Linked DNA regions of Drosophila melanogaster. The protein of the gene in region 1 interacts with the protein of each later gene in a pairwise test. Each region holds a gene or a part of one and is shown on either strand. Other genes may lie near its edges. The genes, in order: CG4116, CG1486 and SmD1.

Region 1 (6,215 bases):
GAGGTCCAAAATCCGCATCCCGTATCCCTTATCCGTATCCCCGAGTCCAAATCAGAAGCCAACTCAGTGGCAGACTCACTGCCAGAAGCGTTCAAAGTTGTCTACTCAAATCATTTTAATTGAAAATTACACATGAGCGGAGCCGAGGAGAAGTAAACTTTTAATCACAAGTAGGCGACTTTCGGAATGCCCTCTAACTTCTTCTTCGGCTCCATAGTATGTATATATTCTTTTATATTAATATAGTATATAGTATATAATATAAAATTAGCTAATTTTAAAGCCCAAGCTTTTCAGTTTCGTCTTTGTAGGGCAGCGAAATGTGCTAGACCAAAGGGAACCGGTGAGTGCTTCCAAGGGCAGTGGATGGTGATTTTGACTTTTAGCACAGCACATGTCCTTGGGCTGAGAACCTGTGTACCAACCACCGAACCATCACTCCCCCCCCCCCTCCACCAATTAAACCGTAAGACCCCACCCCTGGCTCCCCCCTGCCCACTACAGATTTTCCCCCAAAAGGTTTCGCGGGCTTGCCCAGGACCTTGGCTCTCGGTTTTTGGCCTGGCACATGGCACGTTTTGTCCGTACCGGAAATGTCCATTCACTTGCATATTAACAAAGTTCCGCACACTCACACACCAGTTGCTATTTGGTCTATGCAAATGCACTGCGAGAAATGGAGAAATGGAAATGGACTTGCGTTTTGGGGTATGTTTTGCATATAGATTATAATTCTGTTAAAACAGCACAACAAATAACCATTGCATACCAATTTCACTACATCAAATCTCAGTCGTCTGCACGTTTCAGTGTATGCTTGCTTGGCAGCAGTACTTAATAAACTCCCCAGGAAGAGACGCAAAAGAGAAGGCCAACCAAGTTGGTCGTACATCATAGGGTCCTTTTCCATATCCTCACCATGGGGGAGAGGCTATGCCAGGGTTTGTGGGGGCGGCGGCGGCGGCGGTGGAAAGGAAACAGGAAAGTATTTTGAAGGCACCGGAAACCGGAAGCAAGCAATAATTCAAATGAATTTCAAATCAAATCATTGCAAAACATTTACAAAGTATGTGCGCCAAAGCGCTGCACAAAACCGCACAAGAGCCAAATGCCAGCAAGTTCAACTTTGACTTTTGCCAGCAGCTGCAGGTGGGCGCCCACGCCTCCTCCATTCGGCCTCTTGCCTTCCACGCCCCTTTCCACAATTTTTCACCACCCATGCCACTATGGCCTTGCAGTGATTAATTTCTATTATTATGACACTGATTAGGTCCACTTACAGGCTCATTACAGTCATGAGCACATAATACACAGCCCGGACACGTGACGGTGATTTAGAGGTTCGCGAAATGGAACAGCGGCGCCGCACGAGGGGTCGTCCTGCTGACCAGGACGAGGAGCAACGGGCGCCACTCCCCGGGCGCCATCCTGCAGACATTTATCAAGACATTGACCGCCGCATGCAGAGCCGACCGGAGACCGTTTGTCTTGCACTTGACCAGGGGCTCACCAAGGGGGTTCTAAACGGGCCAGCGCACCTCGCAGACACACCGACTGGCGGCCCTTTGAACATGAACACCAGTTGGCCCATAAATTAGTGCAACTACGCCAAATCCACTGGCCTACACAAATTTGAGGCTTTGCAATCGCAAATTTGGTCGATTGGAAAACATACACAAGGTGAGAGCAATGATGTCCATGAAATATGCATGTTATACCAAAGCTAAAATTTAATTATCCATTTCACGCCTTTGCCATAATGACCTCGAATAAAACCACCTTGGTTGCAGAGTGTAATTGCTTTCAATCATTTAAATAAATAAATAAGGTTGCCTTCTCGCATACTAATAGTAATCATTAAAAAAAAAAAAATTCCTTGGCTGGGGGGCAAAAAAAAAGTAATTTTTCGCTTAACTAAGAAAGGCGGTGGATCCTCTTCTCAACCGCGATTTGGTCGCACCACCATCACCTGGGCCTTATTCTTGCCCCGCTTGTTGCCACGCCGGCGACGTCGCTGATTGTTGTTGTTAATGCTGCCACGCCTCTTGTTGACCCGGCGCCTACGGGCGGGAACGCGCCTCCTATTGTTCTGGCCACCGGGACGCACTCGACTGGACACCGCCTGGCCAACGATCTGCGGCAAGAGACCGGCAACTGGCGAGGATCCATAGATGACCTGATTAATGGCCGCATTGGTGGCCGACGAGGAGGAAGACGATGATGATGAGGATCCCGAACTGCCCAGGTTCACATAGATAGCTCCATTGGAAGTCGTGGTGACCAGGCCAGTTCCGGTTCCCGAAGTCGTTCCTGTTGTTCCCGTCGATGTGCCCGTAACAGCTCCCGTTCCCGTTGATGTGGTGCCCGAAGTGGGACGCAGTTGCTCCAGCATATCCTGCTTATTGGTTATGTACTGATTCAGGGCCGAGTTGATACCGGTGTTTGAAGAGCTGGTGCTGCTGCTGCCACTGTTCAAGCCCGATGCCAGGAATCTCAGCTGGCCATTTTCGTTGCCATCCTTCACATAGATGCCGGCCAAACGGGTATTTTGTTCCTTGGCCAGCGGATCCTTTTCGACCTTCTGGGCCATTGCTGGGCAACAACTGCCCAGCAGACAGAGCACTAGAATTGCGTAGATCATTTCTGGACGATGGACCATCGAACTGTGTGTGCCATTGGGCAGATCTTTGGCACTTTTATAGCCCAACATGAGTTGACGGAAATCGACTTTCATCGGTCATGGATGCCATGATGCCCGGAATTTTGCTTGCCAATATATATAGGTTATAGGTTTTAGAAAGCCTTTCTTCATTCTTCTCGCACCATTTTTGCTGGCCCCGAGGCCAAATAGTTGGACTTTTCAAGTGGCAAGAGCGTGTCAAGAAGTGCCCCTACTTGTAGGCCATTGTTTGCTTTGCCGCGGATCGTGAACCTCAAGTGGTCGCAGCCGAAACCGAAAAGCAAAACCAAAGCCAAAAACCAAAACCAAAAACCAAGGAGCCACACTTTAATTAAAATTTAAAATCAGCAACAGAAACACGTCTGCTTGCAGCTTCAGTTGGGGGTTTTTTCGGGCACAGTGGGTAATAATATAAATGGGAATTTGAAATCCAAATCGTATATTGGTTTTTGTACCTTTTAAGGGTTCTATTAGCAACGGAATACTGCTCTATAGCCGAGCAAATACTCTGCACGATACAAAGTTGAACCCATAAACCGCTGTTGCCCCTTTATGCACCCACTTAACGCTTTCTCTCTCTCTCTGAGAATTGCATATTTTCATTCACTCCTTTTTTTTTTTTTTTTTGGATCAACCGCTGTGAGATTGTGCATTCGGAATGGTTTCCATCACTTTGGCGCCAGTGTGCCGCAGATGGCGCCCCCTATTGGGGCGCATTTAACCCCCGGAATCCCCCTTTTTGCCAGCCTCATTTCATTTGCCGTTGATGCGATGCTGCCTTGCTGGTGGTGCCTTGCTTCTCAATTTTTCGCCTAAGTTGGCCAACCGACAGTTTTGGGGCTGAATGCCTGGCGGGGGCTGTTGAAATAAATTTCACTTACGCCAACGCTCACACACACGCACCAAAACTACACTGGCCAAAAACACAAAGGATTGCTCTTAAACTAAGAAAAAACAAAGAAAGGGGCAGCCATGTTAAGCATATATTTTTGTAATTGTAGCGATATATGATGATAGTATGTCCCAAATTCCGCTTTTAAGAACCACCAATTGTTTTCTGCCAGTGCAGCGCACACATGGAGCGCCACACGAACGTAGAGACACATACGAATGTCGCTCACTGTTCGCGGTTCGTCCTTTACTTGGCAATGCAATTACAGGCGCTAACCGCGCGTGAAAACAGCAACAGTGGCAATAACAACAACGGCTAAGGGAGAAACTATCCATCCACACCGAAGGGAAGCATATGCTCCTAAAATCATCTTTAAACCGGACTATCCACACGAATTATAATGCGCAGGCTAAACTAGTTTCAAAGCTAATATTAGTAGATAGTATTATAGTGATGTGCATTCAAATAGAACTGGTAATATCATATATATACTAACGTATAGAAAATAAATATATTGAATATGATCATACTTAATAATTTGTTTGTCAACTTAAAAGCTGTCAATTTGCTCAACGATTTGCAGTGACATTCGGCAAGGCAAGAGTATGTCCGATAGTCTTTCCTGCTCCTTGGCCTTCCTCTTGATTCACTTTATCCGGCACCACCTCTCGATTTTCCCCACCCCACACGCAAGGTGAGGCTTCCATTTCCCATTTTCCTGCCACTGAGCGGCTTAAAGCGACGCAATGACAATTAACAACAGGCGACGACAAAACGACAACGAAAGAAGGTGAGGCTAAAAATGGGATGGAGGTTGGGAGGTACTCAGAGGTACTTTTGGGTGGTTGGGGAAAATGCCATATCAATGACAGCACCAGAAGCCCGAGAAGAAAAATAAAGCGACAACTTCACGCCAGGACTCCTCGCAGGAGATTCCACCCACTTGCCAAACCACCACCCACAACCCACCACACAACATCCGACATCCAACAGCCAACACCCACCTGCCCCACACACTTACGCATATTAACAGGCTTGAATTTTTCAGTTTTTCGCAGACTTTTCCAGCAACACACCAACACACCAATAGCCCACCCCTTCCATTTTCATTTGCACGTGCAATTGAAGTGCAAAATGCGTTTGGCAATAGAATTGCCAGCTAAAGTTTTCCCCAAACCAACTCCAATTCCCGCTTTTACCCAGATTTCATTCTCTACCACAATACAAAACTCAGTTCCGTTCTTTCGTCTACTCAATTTTTATTTTTGCTCCACTTCGGTTTGGTTTTTGAAGGGAAATTTTTGTAAGTGAAATTTCAATGACATTTTAATGGAAATTGCAAATGAATGATGAAGTACGTTGGGGAGGGGGGAGGGGGGGGTGGATAGTGGAGGTAGGTGTACTTAGTGGCTTGGAAAACTGCACAGACCATCGGGGGGAATTACAGACTTGCATAATTGATGCCAAACTTAGGGATATCTTGGCACTTAGCAAGCGTAAAGCAGTGCCAAAAATAAAAAAAAAATAAGTGAAATAGCACAGAGAAACTCAAATGTATAGCAGTGAAACCTTTAAAAAAAAGAGGCTAAAAAACACTAGTTAAAATAGGGCTTATACATGGATATCAGGGGCCTAACTCTTGAATGGAATTTTAAAAAATGCATTCATTCAGAACGCGTTTTAATGAAATTTCCCGGCGACGCCATTCCATGTCATCCCGCTCCCGCCTTTAAAAGAAAACTTCACACAAAGGGATAAACTGGGCAGACATGCGAACAGAGTCCCTTCGATTGGGGAATAAAGATGCACAGATCCCCACATGGCATCACATCACGATTCGACTTTGCCCTCGTGTCTGGCGTCAGCTGTAGCTCAAAGAAGCTGGGGTCGGAAAAATCGAATTTTTGAAATTTGAAAGCTGGAATCGTTTGCCCATTTTTTGCCCATGTTTGCCCACCAATTAGTTTTTTTTGCCCACGTCCAGTTTTTGAGATATGAATTTTCGAAAAAGTTCGAAAATTTTCGAAAATCAAAAATTTCGCTTTTTTCAAATTTTTTTTTTTTAAATCGCAATAACATCGTTTGCCCACGTTTGCCCACCCTTTAGAATTTTGAAAAAATTTATACTTTAGGAAATATAAGGCTTTTAAGTTTACCTCGGTCTAATCAGAGAGTAAATCGTTTGCCCATCCAAATATTATCAACAAAAAACGTTTGCCCAACCATTATTATTAGTTTTTATCGTTTGCCCACCCTTTAAAAAACCTTTAACAAAAATTTTTTTTCGATTGCCCACATTTAAAATACAACCAATTTCCTTAGCCCACCTCTTTAAAATAAAAATTTCCAATAAAAAACGTTTGCCCACCATTTAAAACTAAATAATTTCGATTGCCCACCTTTTAAAACTAAATAATTTCGTTTGCCCATCCTTTAAAATTCATTTTTAACGTTTGCCCACCCTTTAAAAATAAATTATTTAGTTTTAAGAGTGGGCAAACGAAAAAAACAAATTTTAAAGGATGGGCAAACGAAATTATTTAGTTTTAAAAGGTGGGCAATCGAAATTATTTAGTTTTAAGAGTGGGCAAACGACAAAAACAAATTTTAAAGGGTGGGCAAACGAAATAATTTATTTTTAAA
Region 2 (9,630 bases), about 18 Mb from region 1:
TCTCATCTTATCTCCGCTCATTTGACTGAATGGTACAAATTTTAAATAATAATGAACAAATTCGTTAATGTGTCACAGCACCACCTTGTTTGTTGTTAATTTCAGAAGATATTCTCCCCACTTCGCTGGCCCTCAGTGCTCCTTCTAAATAGATAAACTAAACTAGCGACAGGCGGCCCACCTGCTACCAGAGGCGGTGCAGGTGCAAGTTCCTCGACAGCACCGATCTCACGTCGTTCGTGAACCTCAGCGCATCCAGCATGGGCAGCAGCGACAGCAGCGCCGTGTCCATCGGGTCCGAGAACCAACTCTTGATGGGTATGGCGTTGTTGGGAAAACAGCGATAGGCGCCGGGCGAATTGTCGATGATAAATATCTGCAAGGAACGATGCTCAATTTAGAACAAAATACTCGTATATAAAGTACGATCTTATGCAGCACCCTCTACTTTATCGATTTGCAACTGATGGCTCGCATGGAGTCACTTGTTCCCGCTTACCCTATTTAGGTCACTGCAGATGGCCGACAGGTCTTTGGTGTAGGATCCGTAGTCGGGCGTGCAGTGCTGTCTGTAGTATCGCCTCCGGAGGATGTTTCGTCCGTTGTCCAGCTTGTCTGCCACCGCCGCTCCGTAAATCTCCATGCTGGCCGTGAAGACCACCAGATCGTACCACTGCGAGACCTGCGGGCAGTAGGGCGTAAGTTAATGTGTTGACTTAAATGCGGGAATGCATCTATTTGCTTGGCCAATCAATTCGGGAACTTACCACGTCCAGGAAGTAGTCCACATGCGGTCGCTTGTGCACGAAAAAGCGCACTGGATTCCGATCGATGGTCACTTTGACAGTGAAATCGTGCGGCGTGCCCGGCTTCACCGTATTCCGGGGCATCGCATTGTGATGGGAGTGGATTAGCGTTTCGTCCAGGTCCAGAACGAGGGTCTTGCGCTGCACCAGGCTCAGGCGGTGCCGCGAGACGGGTGACAACGGGAAGAGTTCGTATTTAACCGGTTGATACTGGATAAACTGAGAAAGTTAATACATAATCAACGGAGCAGTACTTGAAAGGCATTCGACATGGGGTTCATATGATGGGCTTGGTGGCTATGCGTCGCTACACTCTGTTGGGGTTGGGTTGCGGTGCAAGGAGATGTTAGAGGTGCTCAATGGCCAAGTTATCACTAGTGCATGGGAAACCCCAATTTACTGATATATTATGCTTTTACAAAACAATTAACAATTATTAGCTGTGCAATAGCATATAATGTTGATGTGGATTCATCGATATCTATGTATATAAGCAGGTCGAAGGTCAGTGCCTCTGCCGCGTCACGATATCTGGCCAAAATCGCCGGCCCAGTACTGAGAGAGTATTGAAGGCGGGTGGTCGATAAGGCGGATGGGAGAACCGTGGACAGCACTTCTGGGACGGGTGGGGATTCGGTGGAACACGAACCATTAAACGTGTGGCGGAAAATCTTGATAGAGGCTTACTTTAAGACAGGTGTCACTGGCTAAGCGGTACCCAGCAAAAATATATGTAACTTTACGAAAATTTAAAATTTTGCAAATATTTAGGAATAAATATCTCGTATTCGTATATATTGAAAGTTACTCTAAATTTAATAGATCGCACATTGAAGTAACGTAAATATAATTTGAAAATATAAATGAAACCATATTATTGATATGAGAGATTTGCAGATACAAAGATCTAAAATATATGAATTAATTTTAAGTTCAACGTTTCTATTCATGCAAATCTTCAAATAAATTTCCGAGGCAAACACATCCATACTCTCTAGCGAGTACTACCTGTATCATTGAAAATCTTATCAGTGCGGCCGCTTTTATTATTATTATTCTGTAGCAGTAGTACTTAAGTTTCGATAGCGGGAGCGGGTTGGGAATAATTTCGGCGTTTCGGGCGGGTAAAAATAGGACTATTTTTGTTTTGTGATTTACTCCTGCTTTCGGGTAATTTCAGTACTTACAGCTCGCACTTGGCGATTGAACATGAAACAAATGCATGTCCATACTTTTGATAGCAACAACAAAAGCGCACGGAATTTCATTTGCAGCAGCGAAATCATTGGAAATAGTGCAAGTCCTTGTACGGTGTTTTTTTTGTTCGGGGCGATTAATTCGATAAATCGACCACGATCCGCGATTGACCGCGGTGCGAGCAGATTCCTCTTCTTCTTCCGCCTCCTCTACTTTATTTTTTCTTTTGCAACGAATTGTTGTTGTTTTTGATAACGCGCCGAGAGCCACACGCACACTCACCCACACACCCGCGGGCGCGCTTCACACAACACACACTCACACAAAAAAAACCCGGAACAAAATCGATAACAAGGCTTCTAGATATTTTGTTGAAAGTGTTTTTCTCTTTTCCCGGTTTTTTACTTGAGTTCAATTATTCGGTGTCGCCTAGTTTTAAGGTCCCTTTTCAAGGGAGAAGGAGGGGTATGGTCTTATTTCCAATTCTTTTGGGGGCTTTTTATATCTGGCGTCTGCTCTTCTTCTTCTCTTTTGTTGTCTTGTACGCCAGTGTGTGAGTGTATTGTTTTTTTTTTAGCGTAGTGTAGTTTTTATATTTTGGCAACTATCGCACCGATTTGGGAATAGATTTTGTTTTTGGTTGAGCAAAACGAATCAATTGATTGAGCTATTGCACTTTGATTGCAGTCGATTGCGAGGTGCGTTCGCCTGAATAGTACGACCTGGCCGTGGACTGTTCATTACTCGTTGGCGCTGCGGCTTAGTGTTTATTACATAAATATAGTTTGTCCGCGTTTCGTTTTTGTTTAATAAATTCCCACACTCATGCACACACTCATGTTTATTCGATACTATCGCACTTTCGCAGCATCGATGAGTTTTCCGCAACTATCGATGGCTGTGTAGTATGACCGTGCGGTGCTGTCTTCAAAATCGCTGAGACACAAACCGTGACACAAACCACTGTGAAAACTCGTCGTTTAAGGTTACGAGTAGGTGCTATGTATGTACGTTTGTGTGCTGCTGTCCAACGTCTTTTAGTGGCGGATATTATAATAGTTTTCCAACTTCCTTGCGACCTATTCCATCACCAGAACCATGGGCCAACAATCGCACACTATTTGCGATCTTAGTCAGACGCACCCACTACGGTCACACCATTCCACATCAGCCTCTCTTCCATCAACACACACACACACTCGCCCGCCCCACACACACACGCACACACACCCACCCACACAGACGCAGTGGCACGAAACGAAAACAATTATTTTGCATCGCAGGCGATAAGTTAAAAGTGATTTAGACCGCACTGAAACCATGTCAGCGGCTGGTAGATCGGTGGACGATCCCGGCCAGAGCCCACTCGTAGACCAAGAGCCGGATCCGGGCCAATCAACGCCAGCGGTGGCCGAAATCGCCGCTTCCAGTGTGAGTGTTTGGTTTTTTTCGCCCTGCTTCTATCTTTTTTTTTTTTGCTGACGACGACGGAAGACACGTCAACTTCTGGAGCGCTGTTGTTTACCTTGTCCACTATCCCACCTAATTAGCCATGTATTCGCCACATAGATTCGATCGGGCCTGGCGGAGCTGGAGCTGCGATCTTCGCAGGTGCTGCAGCGCTTAGAGAACGTTAAGGTGTCGACCACGCCGGAGAGCCCAAATCCCGTCGAGAACGAGGAAGAGGCTGGGGAGCGGGTGACCAGCGAGGACCTCCTGCCAGCGAAGCATCGCGTGCCCTCCGACATTCTTAAGTCGCTGGAGCAATTGGTTTCTTACACGGACAGCGACGATGATCCGGAGTTCCCGCTGCCCGCCCTGGATGACGTCTCCCACTTGGCTCTCATATCGCACAGCATTGTGGCCTATTTGTCGCATCTGGACCGTCAGCAACTGCTCCGGGTGACGAACAGCATTTCCGGGGACGCCACCCGCTGGTTGGGCACGCTGTTTCACTTTGCCCACCCGGCGAGCAGCTTCCATGCGGACAATGCAGACGCGGTGCTGCGTACGGTGCGACTGGCCATCGTCGCCAGGTGTCCGGGGTACTTGGAGGGTGGCATACCCGCCCTGGCGCAGCCTACGTTTTACATCTCGGAGAATACGACGCCGATGAGGCTGCACTACGCATGCCGCCAGTTGGGCATACCGCTGGAGGCTATTAAGGTCATTCCGGAGCACAGTCAGTCCGGGACAATGGATGTGACGCTGCTGCAAAAGCAAATTCAGCAGGATGTGGGCAATAACAGGACTCCGCTGCTGGTGGTCGCCGACATTGGAGCCTCGTTGTGTGGCTATGTGGACAACCTGCTCCGGCTGAGGGACGTATGCAAGGCGCACAACATGTGGCTGCACGCCAGTGGCCACGGACTGGCCGCCTTGGTGTGCGCCCAAAATCAGGGCCATGTGGAGGAGGTACTCCACTCGATGGCCCTGAATTTGGGCAGCTGGCTGGGTGTGCCCAGTCTGCCCATCGTCCTGCTGCACCGTCCGCTGCAGAACAGCGCTCTGAGTGCCTTCGAATCCGATCCCATACTGTCGCGTCGTCTTAATGCCCTGTCCTTGTGGACCAGTTTGCAGGCGCTGGGCCGGAAGGCGATTGCGGAGCGTCTGCATGTGGCCTTCCAGACGTGCAGTATTCTCTTCGAGATTGCCTCCAAGTGTGAGGGCATCCGGGTGTTGGTAAATTATTGCACACACGTTTATGGATAATGTTTTTAGTTTACCAAAGGACCTTGGCATTTTCAGAGCCATACTCCAGGAGCGCAGACCGGAGCCTCTTTGTCGGACGTCATTCAGAGCCCCTTTGATGTGCAGGCGCTTTTTGATGCCGCCGCCCCCGTGGTCGCCTATCAGTTCGACGGCAGCACCACCATTCCACTGGGCGGGAGTGGCTCTTCCGCCGCCGCTGCCGCTGCTGAGCGGGAAACGGCCGAAGGCCTCAAGCCGCTAGAGAAGATTAACAATGCTTCCTACTTCGACCGGCTCAACTCCTGGCTGGGTCAAATCTTGCAACGCGACTGTCCCAATGTATGCAGTGTGAATTAATCATCTCCTTGTATGAGCCTAATCACCATGTTCTTCCAGTTTGACTTTGAGGTAATTGAACACCCGACGCACGGCAGCTGCATTCGCTACTGTCCGCTGGAATTGGGGTTGGGTGAGCAGCCGCCAAGCTCCGAGAACCTGGAGAGCTTCGCTCAGAGCTTAGAGGCACATGTGGACATCCTGCGCGCGACCATCAAGCACAAGGCACGGTTCATTCATCTGGTGGAGTGCAGCGACGTGCTGCGCCTCGTTCCACTGCCCGAATGGGCGGGCATGGGCGGTGTTCGCTTCGTGCCCGAGGGCTGGGAGTCCCTGCTGACGGACCAGGCCAAAACAGAGCTAAACAAGCTGAACATCGACCTGGTGGAGGCCCTGAAATCCACGGACAATGCCTTTTCATTAGGCGAAGGCACCGATGGTCTGATTTGTGTGCGATTCGGAATGGTGACCCATGAAACGGAGGTCGAAGAGTTGTTAGACTTGGTGGTCACGGTGGGCAAGAGCGTCCAGGAAAACTCGCGGGTATTGGACACCATGTCGGAGATTGTTAAAAAGGTTGGCTACCACCTCGTACTGGATTAATGTAACATGTGTTAATTTATTTGTACGCTCAGGGCATTGAGGCGGTTACCGCTGATCTGCAGCGCGAATCGGAGGAGAAGCTCTGGCAGGAGGGCATCCTGCGCCACGTGCCTGTGGTGGGACGCGTCTTCAACTGGTGGTCCCCACCGGCCAAGGAGTCGGGCATCAAGGGGCGGAGCCTCAATCTTACCCAAGGTGTTGTCGAAAGCACCGAGAACATTTACAAGTGGGTTCCAAAGATCGTTTGATATTGTGTCCTTGTTTAATGTTCATCAATCTACACTCCAAAGGTACCACATGCAGATGACCGGAGCCACTGCTCATCAGTTGCCAGCGAATCGTTCGCCTCCCACACCCATGGTGCAGACGCCCGTGGTCGCGCCTGCCTTGCCGCCCGTCTTTCCCACGGTGGAGCCCGTACCCGGAAATGGAAACGGATCCGGAGCGAGCGAGGGCACGCCAGTGCAGTCGGGAGAAGCTTCGGGATCGATGCCAGCAGCCTCGGGAGCGGCTCCGTCTGCGGCGCCGACCCAAAACCATGTGGATCATGCCCGCACCGTCAGTCAGAGCAGTGCCGCCTCGTCCACCGTTCCGGAGTTAGTGGCCGCCAGCAGTGCAATTAACAATAACTAACAATAACACAAGTACGAGTATATTTCAAAATTAACTATAACTGAACGGCAGAGGAAAACACTTAGATCAAGGCAGAGCCAGCAATATGGATTCCACAGTGGGAGAGGCCTTAAAACGCAGCAATATCAAACAAGGCTTGAACTGAACAGAAACGCGTAGACAAAAACTGGACAGATTACCATATATATGGACGGCTTCATTTCCACTTTCCCTACTTAAACGAAAAGAATTCCAAAGAGGATGATTGTTCGCCCGAAAAGATGAAAAGATGATGATGATATGATCCAATTGAATTGCTTTTATGTATTTATATGTATATGGCTATTTCTATGATCTTTTATATATCTCCATTATATATTATATTATTTTACCTTATACTTTACTCCCACCATTATTGTTGATTATGATCAGAGGGAAATGTGCGTAACTTCGTCCTCTTTACGCTTTTATTTTTTTGTTTTTATAATTATTCAGATGCAAGTACCTTTGAGAGACATAATATATATACATTTATATATATATAGGCAATTCTTCAATGTTCAATTGTGCGAAGCAATAAATTGCGCTATTCTTATTCGTTAAGCTAAGTGACAGTAAACTAAAGAAATTAAAGAAAACGCGGAGAAAGAAAATAATTAAATGACAAAAATATATTTATTATACAAAAATTGCTGCTATAAGAAAATATCTGCACAAAATATGATAAAAGGAAACTATACAAAATAAAATGTGAAATCATTTAGAAAGAGAAAGCATGTGTTTCTTGTTGACCTTTCGCCTCTAAATGGTAATATCTTCCCCTTTTGGTTTGTATTTCCCTAAACCGATTAAAAATGTTATTTTTTTAATTGTTATGTTTTCGTTTAGAAACGTGGCAATGTGATAAGTTTTTTTTTTTCATACACCAAACTTAACTCGATAGTTTCCAAACTTTTTATCCGATTTTCTCAACCTTTTTTTACAAATCTTAATCGTTTGATCGAAAAATTTACAATTGTTGTTAAATTACTAAAGGAAAGATGATGGTTGAGCTTATGATTTTATGCAAATAGGATACTTTTTTTAGACACATAACCTCTCTTATATAGTTTATGGTATGAAAAGTTAATTTTGTGTGGTTACATACTTACACAAGTACTGATAGTTTTTATGACCATATTCACCTTCATCATTCGTCACTTTATTGGCCCCCATTAAAAAACAACAGTTCTCCATCTAACTAATGCAATTAAATTTTATATTTTTATTTTATTTAATATTTTTTGTTGGATGTTTTTTAGCGCTTTACTTTGCCGCTGCTTGCTTTTGAATGAAATTCCTCCCGACTTCGCGCCTTTCGTTACCCGCGACTCATTTCGATTTGCGCATAAAATATGTTTTCATTCCAGAAATTTGGTGTCTCCCGCTCATTGGAACAATTCCGAGAAGCTGACGGGGCAAAAGTGGTTTCTGGAACACACTTATTAGTTAATTGTTGTATTTCGTACTTCTTACAAGAGTTTTCAAACTGTTCGTACGATTCGTTAGAATCGCCTGCGTGGTTCATTTTGGTTTTAATCGTTTATTAATATGCCACTAAGCGCTTCGATTTATGCCTCTGGTCTTTACATTTTCTTTAACTATGCATACAATATATTTAAATATATATTTATATATATATATATATATATTATATTATATATATATATTATTATATATATATATATTATATATATATGTATATACATATATGTTGTACAACTCGATCTTCTCTCGTCTTATTGCCGCTGTCGCCGGGCCTTCGAAAAAAATGTGCAAATTTCGTTTTGAATCTCCTGTTGGGCCTTTTCTCGGATTTTATGTACTTCGAGATCGGCGCACCTATGTTTTTTTGCGTTATTCTTAGGGATTTTCTTTTGTAATAACTACAACGCGTACGATGACAACATTTAACACAGAAATATATTTACGAACTAATTGTGTTATATTTATATGTACGTGTACGTGGAGTTCCGATCTGGGCTCGGAACTCGCATTACTCCCAAACTTTGCCTCTCAAGGGGTTTTCTCCGGGCTTTACCATTGACTAGTATAATTCGGTACTGCTCATGTAGATTGGGCGATCCTTAAAGGATGCTTAGAGAGGATTACGATTCGATTCGCTTCGGTTCGGCTCGGTTTCGTGACGAAGGACCCCTTAAGACGACTGCTGTTCGATTTGTGCGTATTTCGTTTGTTGTTTTTTTTTTATAACTGGTAATTGTATAATAAGCGAATAAAAAAACTTGATTAGTTTGTTCCGATCTCTCTTTACAGCGTCTTTACATATTTACTTTAAAAATGCGATTGAGCCAACTTTGATCTGAGTCCTCCGATTGTTAATATCTTACAGTTGATCATTTCAATGGGGGGATCGCTCTAGTTGGGGCTCGTTAGGTGTATGTATGTATGTATATAATGTATGTATGTATATTATGGCTAGATTGATCGATCGATTGATCGATCGTTTTGGGCGATCCCTTGATCGATCGATCGATTGGTAAATGTTGAGAACTTCGCTGTGTGGGCAGTGTTCGGATGCGACATAGTTTTTGTTGGCCGTTGGCCACCTGGCGTACACTGAAGTTGGCCTCCGGGAATCGATCTAAAATGCTTCGATTATTCTTGATGCGTGTTGCTGGTATATAGTTGTCGATAGGCTTATGTATCTTGTCTATATAACTATTTTATAATATCTATTCGTGTATATATCGCGCGTGTATATATATCTATATAACTTTGTAGTTCGCTTGTTTTCTCATGTCTTGTCGCTTTTAATTCGGGTTTGTCGGTTTGTTTTCGGTAATTAGGGGGGGGGGGGTGGCAGTACTTTGTGTTAGTTTCATATTGCTATCGGTTTCATGCCAAGTCGAATTGTTCATCTCTCGTCTCGTCTAGTTGGTTACTGATTACGCTAGTACTATGCATGCCTTTCGTTTAGCTACTAAATATACAGTTAGCCCACTAAGTATCTACATGTATCTTCGTTAAGTTTAGATTTAATAAATGCATTCCATGTTAAGCTTAGGTTAAATACACAATAAAATCGCGGGCACGAATCCTCGACCGATTCAGCCCGCCAGTCCCGGACGATCCCACCGCATCCCATCCAGGCGTGGGCATCGTCCGCAGCACAACCCAGACCCAGGACAGAGTCGAGCAATAAACGGGGATTCCCCTGAATGGATGTGGCGGGAGGATGGGCAGTGTTTGGGTTCGGGGTCTTAACAGTAGCAGTACGAGTCCTTGGGTCCTTAAATAACTCTAATCCTTCAACTAACGTGGGTTTGGCATACTCGAGGTTATATCGGTTCGATTCGCTTGCAACGTAACGTACATAAGTGGG
Region 3 (6,635 bases), on another chromosome or scaffold:
GGCGATGGAGTTGCCTCTCGTGACGTTGTCATGATGACACTGTATGCTCAAGTTGGTGGGTTTTGTTGCCACGCCGTCCATCGTTGTGCCGTTCACGTTTTCGGACCATGGTCCACAAGTCTTGGTTAGATCACTACATGCCCTTACCCTAAATTCGTAGTCTGTGGCGGTCTTAAGCTTATCAAACATGTATGGCAAGTTTCGAGAATTCTGCTGGTAAATGGCCTCTTCGATCACTTTGGGCACCTCGCCCGATTCGGAGACAATCAGTTCGTAGTATTGTATATAATCAATGAGATCTGGCGGCGGTGGATTCCAGCCAATCGTTATCGTGGACGCCGTGCTGCCGGTGGTCTCGACTTTTGGTATAAATATGGGATCATAACTAAGCGTGGTGATTCCCTGGGGATACTGGGTGGGTTGGCCATTGCCAATCGAGTTCTTTCCCACGATTCTTAAAAAATAGGTTGTGTTCGGCTTGAAATGGTCCAGAATATACGATGTATGGCTGCCGTTAATAAAGTCCTTATGATAAGTAAAAGTCGGTGTTCCAGCCTCCTGCAGAGTGATGAAGAACTTCTGAATTGGATCGTTGCCGTCGTTAACGGTCCAATTTAGGTATATTTTATTAGCACCAACTGCCTTGGCGAAATCAATGCTAACTTGTGGCACTTCCATTACGAAAAGGGTAATCTCTTTGGAGGTAATTTCGAGTCCGGTGTCATCGAAGACGGTGCACTTGTAGGTGCCATTCTCTTTCTTGTAAACTTCTGTGAATTCCAGGGTGAAGTTTAAGTGCGTATCGTTTAGCTTCGAAATGGACGAGAAGGTGTCCAGGAATTCAAACTGGCTGCCGTCCTTAAGCCACTTGAGGTTTCTATTAGTTGTCTCATTTTGTGGGTACATCTCGATCAAACAGTACAACATGACATCCTGCTTGATTTTTCTCTTAATCCTATCGGGGGTACTTTGCAGGACTTTGGATGGAAGGTATGGCCTAACTTGGAATTCAGTCGAATGGTTTTGCCCCGTTTGGGCTGTGCATGTGTAGTTCCCCGAGTCCTTTATATTGACATCGAGAAGCGCCAGGACATTCTTATACTTGATGAAGTCTTGACTATCGTTGTTTTCACTGCCATCGTCGTTGGATTTCAATGGCTCAGTTCTTATTTTATATCTGAAAAGATCGAAAAATGATCAGATTATTATGTTATTCCATCTTTATGGGGGCAGAAATATTTTTAGATGCTTGTGCAATAAGTTACTAACCTTGTATGGTTTTTATTAATAGTTTGGTTGCCCAGCTTCCATGCTACTGCTTCGTTTTCAGATGCGCACTCTAGAGATACGTTTTTACCTATTTCTGCCCACTCTGTAAATAAATTTCATTAAAATAATTATCAGTTTTGTATATAGACGTAATTATAGAAATTACACCGATCTAGTAGCAACATGCTTCTGTCAGCCTAAAAATATGTTAGACTTAAAATATATCTTCCTGATTAATGGTTGTGTATATTTAAATCTGATTATAGCTTCCGGGTTTTATGCGATTTAGTAAAATATTCAAATTAGAACTATATTGAAGGAAAATTTCTTATTTAACTTTCCTATTAAATTTTAAGTTTTATGATGGACACCAAGAAAGGTTTTTCTGGATGGGCGGTAAAAGCCAGACATAAAAATGAAACTACACCCACAATATTGGCCATAAAACTCGCGGTAGTAATCCGGCGTAATTTCGGAATCAACACGTATTTAGCTGAAGAAATATTACAAATATATATATATGTGATTATATTTCAGATAAATCAGATAGATGTACATAAGTATGTACGCAGAAACATAAAACGTATGTATGTACCGGGAAGTGTGTACATATGTATGCGCGACTACTTTTGTTTAGCCCCAATTGAAATCTCACCCCATCGCCGTAATCTTTGGGCGTTACCGACATAGTTCGAGTGCTACTGTATCTAAGAACTATACAACCGTCTTGTTAACCACCATATCAAATGATAATTCCAGTTTCCAACTTAATGTAAAACACTCCATTCACATTTGCAAAAACAACACAAAAAAAAAATGAGACATTGCAATTTGTTGACACCCACAAACGGTTCTTGATGTACGTATGTATGTACCAATTATGATGTTCGTCTGAGTTTTTGAAACATTACCTTGTTTCACAGATCCTTGCACACATATCGCACAAAGGAAAATATATGCAAGAATTATATTTAATAGCATCGACATGCGTCGGTAGAGTAACGCCATGGCTTGCTAATTTCTCACTCCGAGCCGGATAAATACATATGTCAAAAATTATATTCGATGTCTGCGTTGAGTTAAAAAGCTCTACTGCGTTGAACTAATGTCGCGGCGAGTGCAAAACACCGACAAATGTGTTTTATTAAAAACCAGTTAATAGACGGCGACCGCGAATAAGTATTAATCGTTATTTTCTTAACACTGGATTGTTTTTTTTTCGCGATATGCGGCGTTATCGATAAGTCAGTCGAATATGTACCCTTGGCTGCGGTTACCAAGGGATTTGGAACAACTGAATTGGAATATAATCGTATATTATAATAATATAATCGTAATCGTATTTATTAACATGAGTAATTAATAAGACACAAGTATTTATTTATAGAGCAGTATGACATTAATTGTTACTTAATTGTTGCAAATTTATAATTTATTTCTGGAATGCATTAATTCATTTATTACTTCATATTCACTTTTATTACGATTCCGTTTGGTAGCCGATATATTTTACAATACCAATGAGCGTTGCTATCTTAGCACACGATACAACAGTTCACCGCAACCACCAAATTCCAAGTAAACTAGCCGGCATTGTTTGTGCGCGTTTTTTTTTGCAGAAAACCACCAAAAACACATAAAAACATGAAATTAGTAAGGTATGTTATGCGTCATTTACCTAAACTAAAACTAAACTTGTTAGCAATGCGTGCAGTATAGTTTCATTCAGTTTTTGAGTTCTGCGATTCTGCACACATGTATGCATGCAAAAGCGATGCTCCCATTTGTTGTTTTTGTACACAAAATTTAATTTAATACGAATGTTGTTTTGATCTGTTATTATAATAGTTTTCCATTATTTACTTGTATCTGGTAACAATTCTTGCACTTTAAGTAGCATTTTGCATAACTATATTCAATGCAATCAACGCTCTTAATCCAAGGCCACCAAATACAAGCTACCTTTAAATTCGTACTAATTTGCTAAAAGTAAAGGCTCTACTAAGTATATTTCATCATAAAGGCTGCTTGCATACACCTTATTGTATCTCATTTTTCAATCACCCAATAAGATATTTGTTTCTACCTATAATAGCCTTGCATCTCTGAAATGCTGCATCTTTGCAACAGGGATTTCCTTAATTTCGTTTACTAATCTTCCCGTTGATGCATTACAGATTCCTTATGAAGCTAAGTCACGAGACCGTGACCATCGAACTGAAGAACGGCACCCAGATCCACGGCACCATTACCGGCGTGGATGTGGCCATGAACACTCACCTGAAGAGCGTTCGGATGACGATCAAGAACCGGGATCCCGTCCACCTGGAGACGCTGAGCATTCGCGGCAACAACATCAGATACTTTATACTGCCGGACAGCCTGCCGCTGGAGACGCTCCTCATCGACGACACCCCGAAGTCGAAGACAAAAAAGAAGGACAGCGGCCGCGTGGGAAATCGCGGCAGGGGCAGAGGCGCCCGCGGACGAGGTGGTCCACGGGGTCGCGGAAGGGGCCGAGCTTCAGGCCGACGTTAATCTTTGTAACAGCTACATCTAATAAACAATATTCGATAAATATAGAATATAAATATTCTTTGGATAAATCCACACTGTATGCATTTACTATGTACGAACAACTGACAAATGTCTTCAGCTAGTAAAGAAACTCCATCTGAATATGTATATTGTTAAAAATCACTCTGTGTAGTAGCTCAGGAAAAATGTGTTTACTTGGCAACAAATTGAAAGAAGACTCCCGCCATTAAATTATGATTAAAAATGTTTGAAAGTTTGTAAAAACGCTTTTTTATACTTTTAATTGTTTTTGGACGCACAAAATGTCTTTCAAATGTTCAACAATAGTAGGAGAAAACTGTGTTACTTAAGCTAGGCTATAGATTCAAATATATTTACTACTGCCATTAGGATGCGTGGTGAACAATGAAACAAACGACAATGTTAAACCCATGAAATGGGCATCGCCTTAAAACTGGTTAACTTAAGAGATTCTACTTTAAGTAACGGATTGGAAAACATATCAAAAGAAACAATAGATATAGGGATAATGGAGTAACCCTCACTTTAAAACCCATTATTAAGGACAAAAAAATATAAGTGATTTGTTTAAGTTTTCAAAGGCAGGTTGAACCGGTTCCGATAATATATCGAAATGTCAAATTGTGGAACTTGCTCCGATCAATTATCGCTATTCGGGTTCGGATACCCGCTAAAAGTAAGGCGCCAATTTTAAATCTTAAAATTTAAATTAGGAATGTCTTTTGATAACACAATTTTTTATTTTATATTTTTAACTCAAGTTCACAATTGCTCAAGCTTCACAGCTCTATTGCTTTCCTTTGAAGTCTGGTCAGAGCCGGGAATTTGTATATATTTGTTCGTTTATGGTTTAATTGAGAATGTGATTTTGGCTGCAGCTGTTGTTGCTTTGCTTTGCATACTAAGTTTGTTTGTTTAATAATCGTGCACCATATATATACATATATATATACACTTGACGGTTATTGGATCTCTGCAGTGTTAGGATTGTTAAAAGTCGTAACTTATCGTAATTTATGCTTTTGATGAACATCATTTGAGGGATAACATACAACTATGACACAGGTAAATATTTAAAAATTAAAATTTTTTTCCACAATGTTATATTTTCGGTTACCTTAGTGCCTATATAATTGCTTTGTTTGCATTCAATCTGACTCAATTACCTTTTCTGTATCTTTTTCTGCAACCGTTTATTTGATATCAATATATTAACTTTAGCCATTCCTTTTGAGCTTAGTGCTTCGGTTTTACCATTTTGATTTCTCTATTTGTTACCATTTATTCAACAATAATACAGCTACATTCGATTTGCATTCAAGCAGAAATGCAAAATGTTTGTGATGAAAGGATATCGAGTTTGTATGATGGATGTAGTAAGTCATGAAATCACGATAATCTAATTAAATCCATTAGCAGATATTCAGTCACCCTCGAAAAAGGGTTGAAAGTACTCGGCTGTAAGTTTACACCCTGCACAAATAAGGGTTAAAAAAATAAGGGGAAATTATTTGAAAGTATCTTCGGGCGATTAAATACATTTAAATTACGTTTAAATACATTTTATGTATTTTACTTATGTTTTGTTATGTTTATGTATTGCTAATGCTTAATGAAAAAGGGTTTGTAAAAATAAAAAGAAGCAAAGGTACTTGGACATAATAATTTTTAATTTGCTTAATAACGCTTTTTTAGAAATCCTGTCAACATTCGGAATTCAACGGATTATCAAGGAATAAAATTCAAAATCAAACATGGTATAATTAATAATCTTCTTTGCAATTAGACCTTAAAAACAAATAATGTATACAAAATATATAAATTTGTATTTCTGGCAAGACGAATATTAACAAAATAATAATATCAGAACCAGAATTATTAATGGGTCGTATTTAAATAAAAAGAATTTATGTTTATATAGACTATATTTAGGGCATTGAAATATTTGGGATACCTTCCCGAAAAGATTGTTTTAAGCCAAACTTCATTAGTAGAGAAAACTTGAAAATACTTGAATATACTTACTAATTTGCGACATACGGTGGAAAAAAGTTTGCGACAATCCAAGGAACTAACTTTAAGTCGAAATTATACACAGTAATTGATAAGCGAAAATTGAGAACAGCAATAGCCGTGGTTGGAACACCTGCCCAAATAATTTCGGATCAAAAAAGCTCAACGTTTTTAAAAGCGTCAATGAATGCGGAAGTTCGATTTTGTTATCCTCAAACAACTTTGAAGATTTTCAAATTCTGTGCAATCGATTGTCTCGACTTGTATATAAATAAAATATTTGCAGCTGATTTGCTCAAAGACTTTCTGATAAAAGAAAAATATGGGCATGAGTTGTGTATTTCTGATTTTTAACAAAAGCAACTTTTGTAATCCAAAACTTTAGAATCCTTTGCTGAAGTGTCATAAATCACAGCATCAAATTAGTGCGATGTAAAATTTATCGACAAAGGTAATGGACTTGGGACGACTCACATTTAACTATGCAGTTAAGTAATGATGCTTCGGGATGAAACAATGCCGATTCGCAATTTAGTGCCTGTGTATTCGCATGTGAAAGTTTGTATCGCCTCCTTGTCTTTTTCGTATGGCGAAAAGTCGAGGTCCTTAGACTAAATGAGGCAGGGCAAACAGGTTCAGCGCCAATTCATTGATGAGCAAAACATGTTCCTCCAGAAGGAACCATCAATATCAATCGAAAATGCATGCCGCGGCCTGATCAAAATAAATTATAAAACAAAAAGGGCCGCGCTCCGCATTGGGTTTGCCATAAAACGAATCGCAAAATTAACAAG

What was found.
Region 2: the proteins of CG4116 (region 1) and CG1486 interact in a two-hybrid assay, tested with the Drosophila melanogaster proteins (one large-scale study listed by BioGRID).
Region 3: the proteins of CG4116 (region 1) and SmD1 interact in a two-hybrid assay, tested with the Drosophila melanogaster proteins (one large-scale study listed by BioGRID).

What each region holds. Positions count from the first base shown.
Region 1 is NC_004354.4:3,064,829-3,071,043, forward strand, and holds CG4116 (uncharacterized protein), read right to left. Parts: upstream 2,735-6,215; coding exon 1,940-2,734; 3' UTR 1,787-1,939; downstream 1-1,786.
Region 2 is NC_004354.4:21,321,138-21,330,767, forward strand, and holds CG1486 (uncharacterized protein), read left to right. Parts: upstream 1-2,908; 5' UTR 2,909-3,010; exon of another isoform or gene 3,011-3,097; 5' UTR 3,098-3,323; coding exon 3,324-3,434; intron 3,435-3,572; coding exon 3,573-4,685; intron 4,686-4,751; coding exon 4,752-5,033; intron 5,034-5,090; coding exon 5,091-5,606; intron 5,607-5,665; coding exon 5,666-5,859; intron 5,860-5,923; coding exon 5,924-6,266; 3' UTR 6,267-7,013; downstream 7,014-9,630. Other genes in the region: Dd (dullard), read right to left, coding at 185-376, 500-682, 768-1,025, 1,994-2,092.
Region 3 is NT_037436.4:12,730,795-12,737,429, reverse strand, and holds SmD1 (small ribonucleoprotein particle protein SmD1), read left to right. Parts: upstream 1-2,818; 5' UTR 2,819-2,913; coding exon 2,914-2,927; intron 2,928-3,446; coding exon 3,447-3,807; 3' UTR 3,808-4,066; downstream 4,067-6,635. Other genes in the region: Ptp69D (protein tyrosine phosphatase 69D), read right to left, coding at 1-1,177, 1,270-1,372, 2,181-2,277. UniProt on the Drosophila melanogaster protein: Plays a role in pre-mRNA splicing as a core component of the spliceosomal U1, U2, U4 and U5 small nuclear ribonucleoproteins (snRNPs), the building blocks of the spliceosome.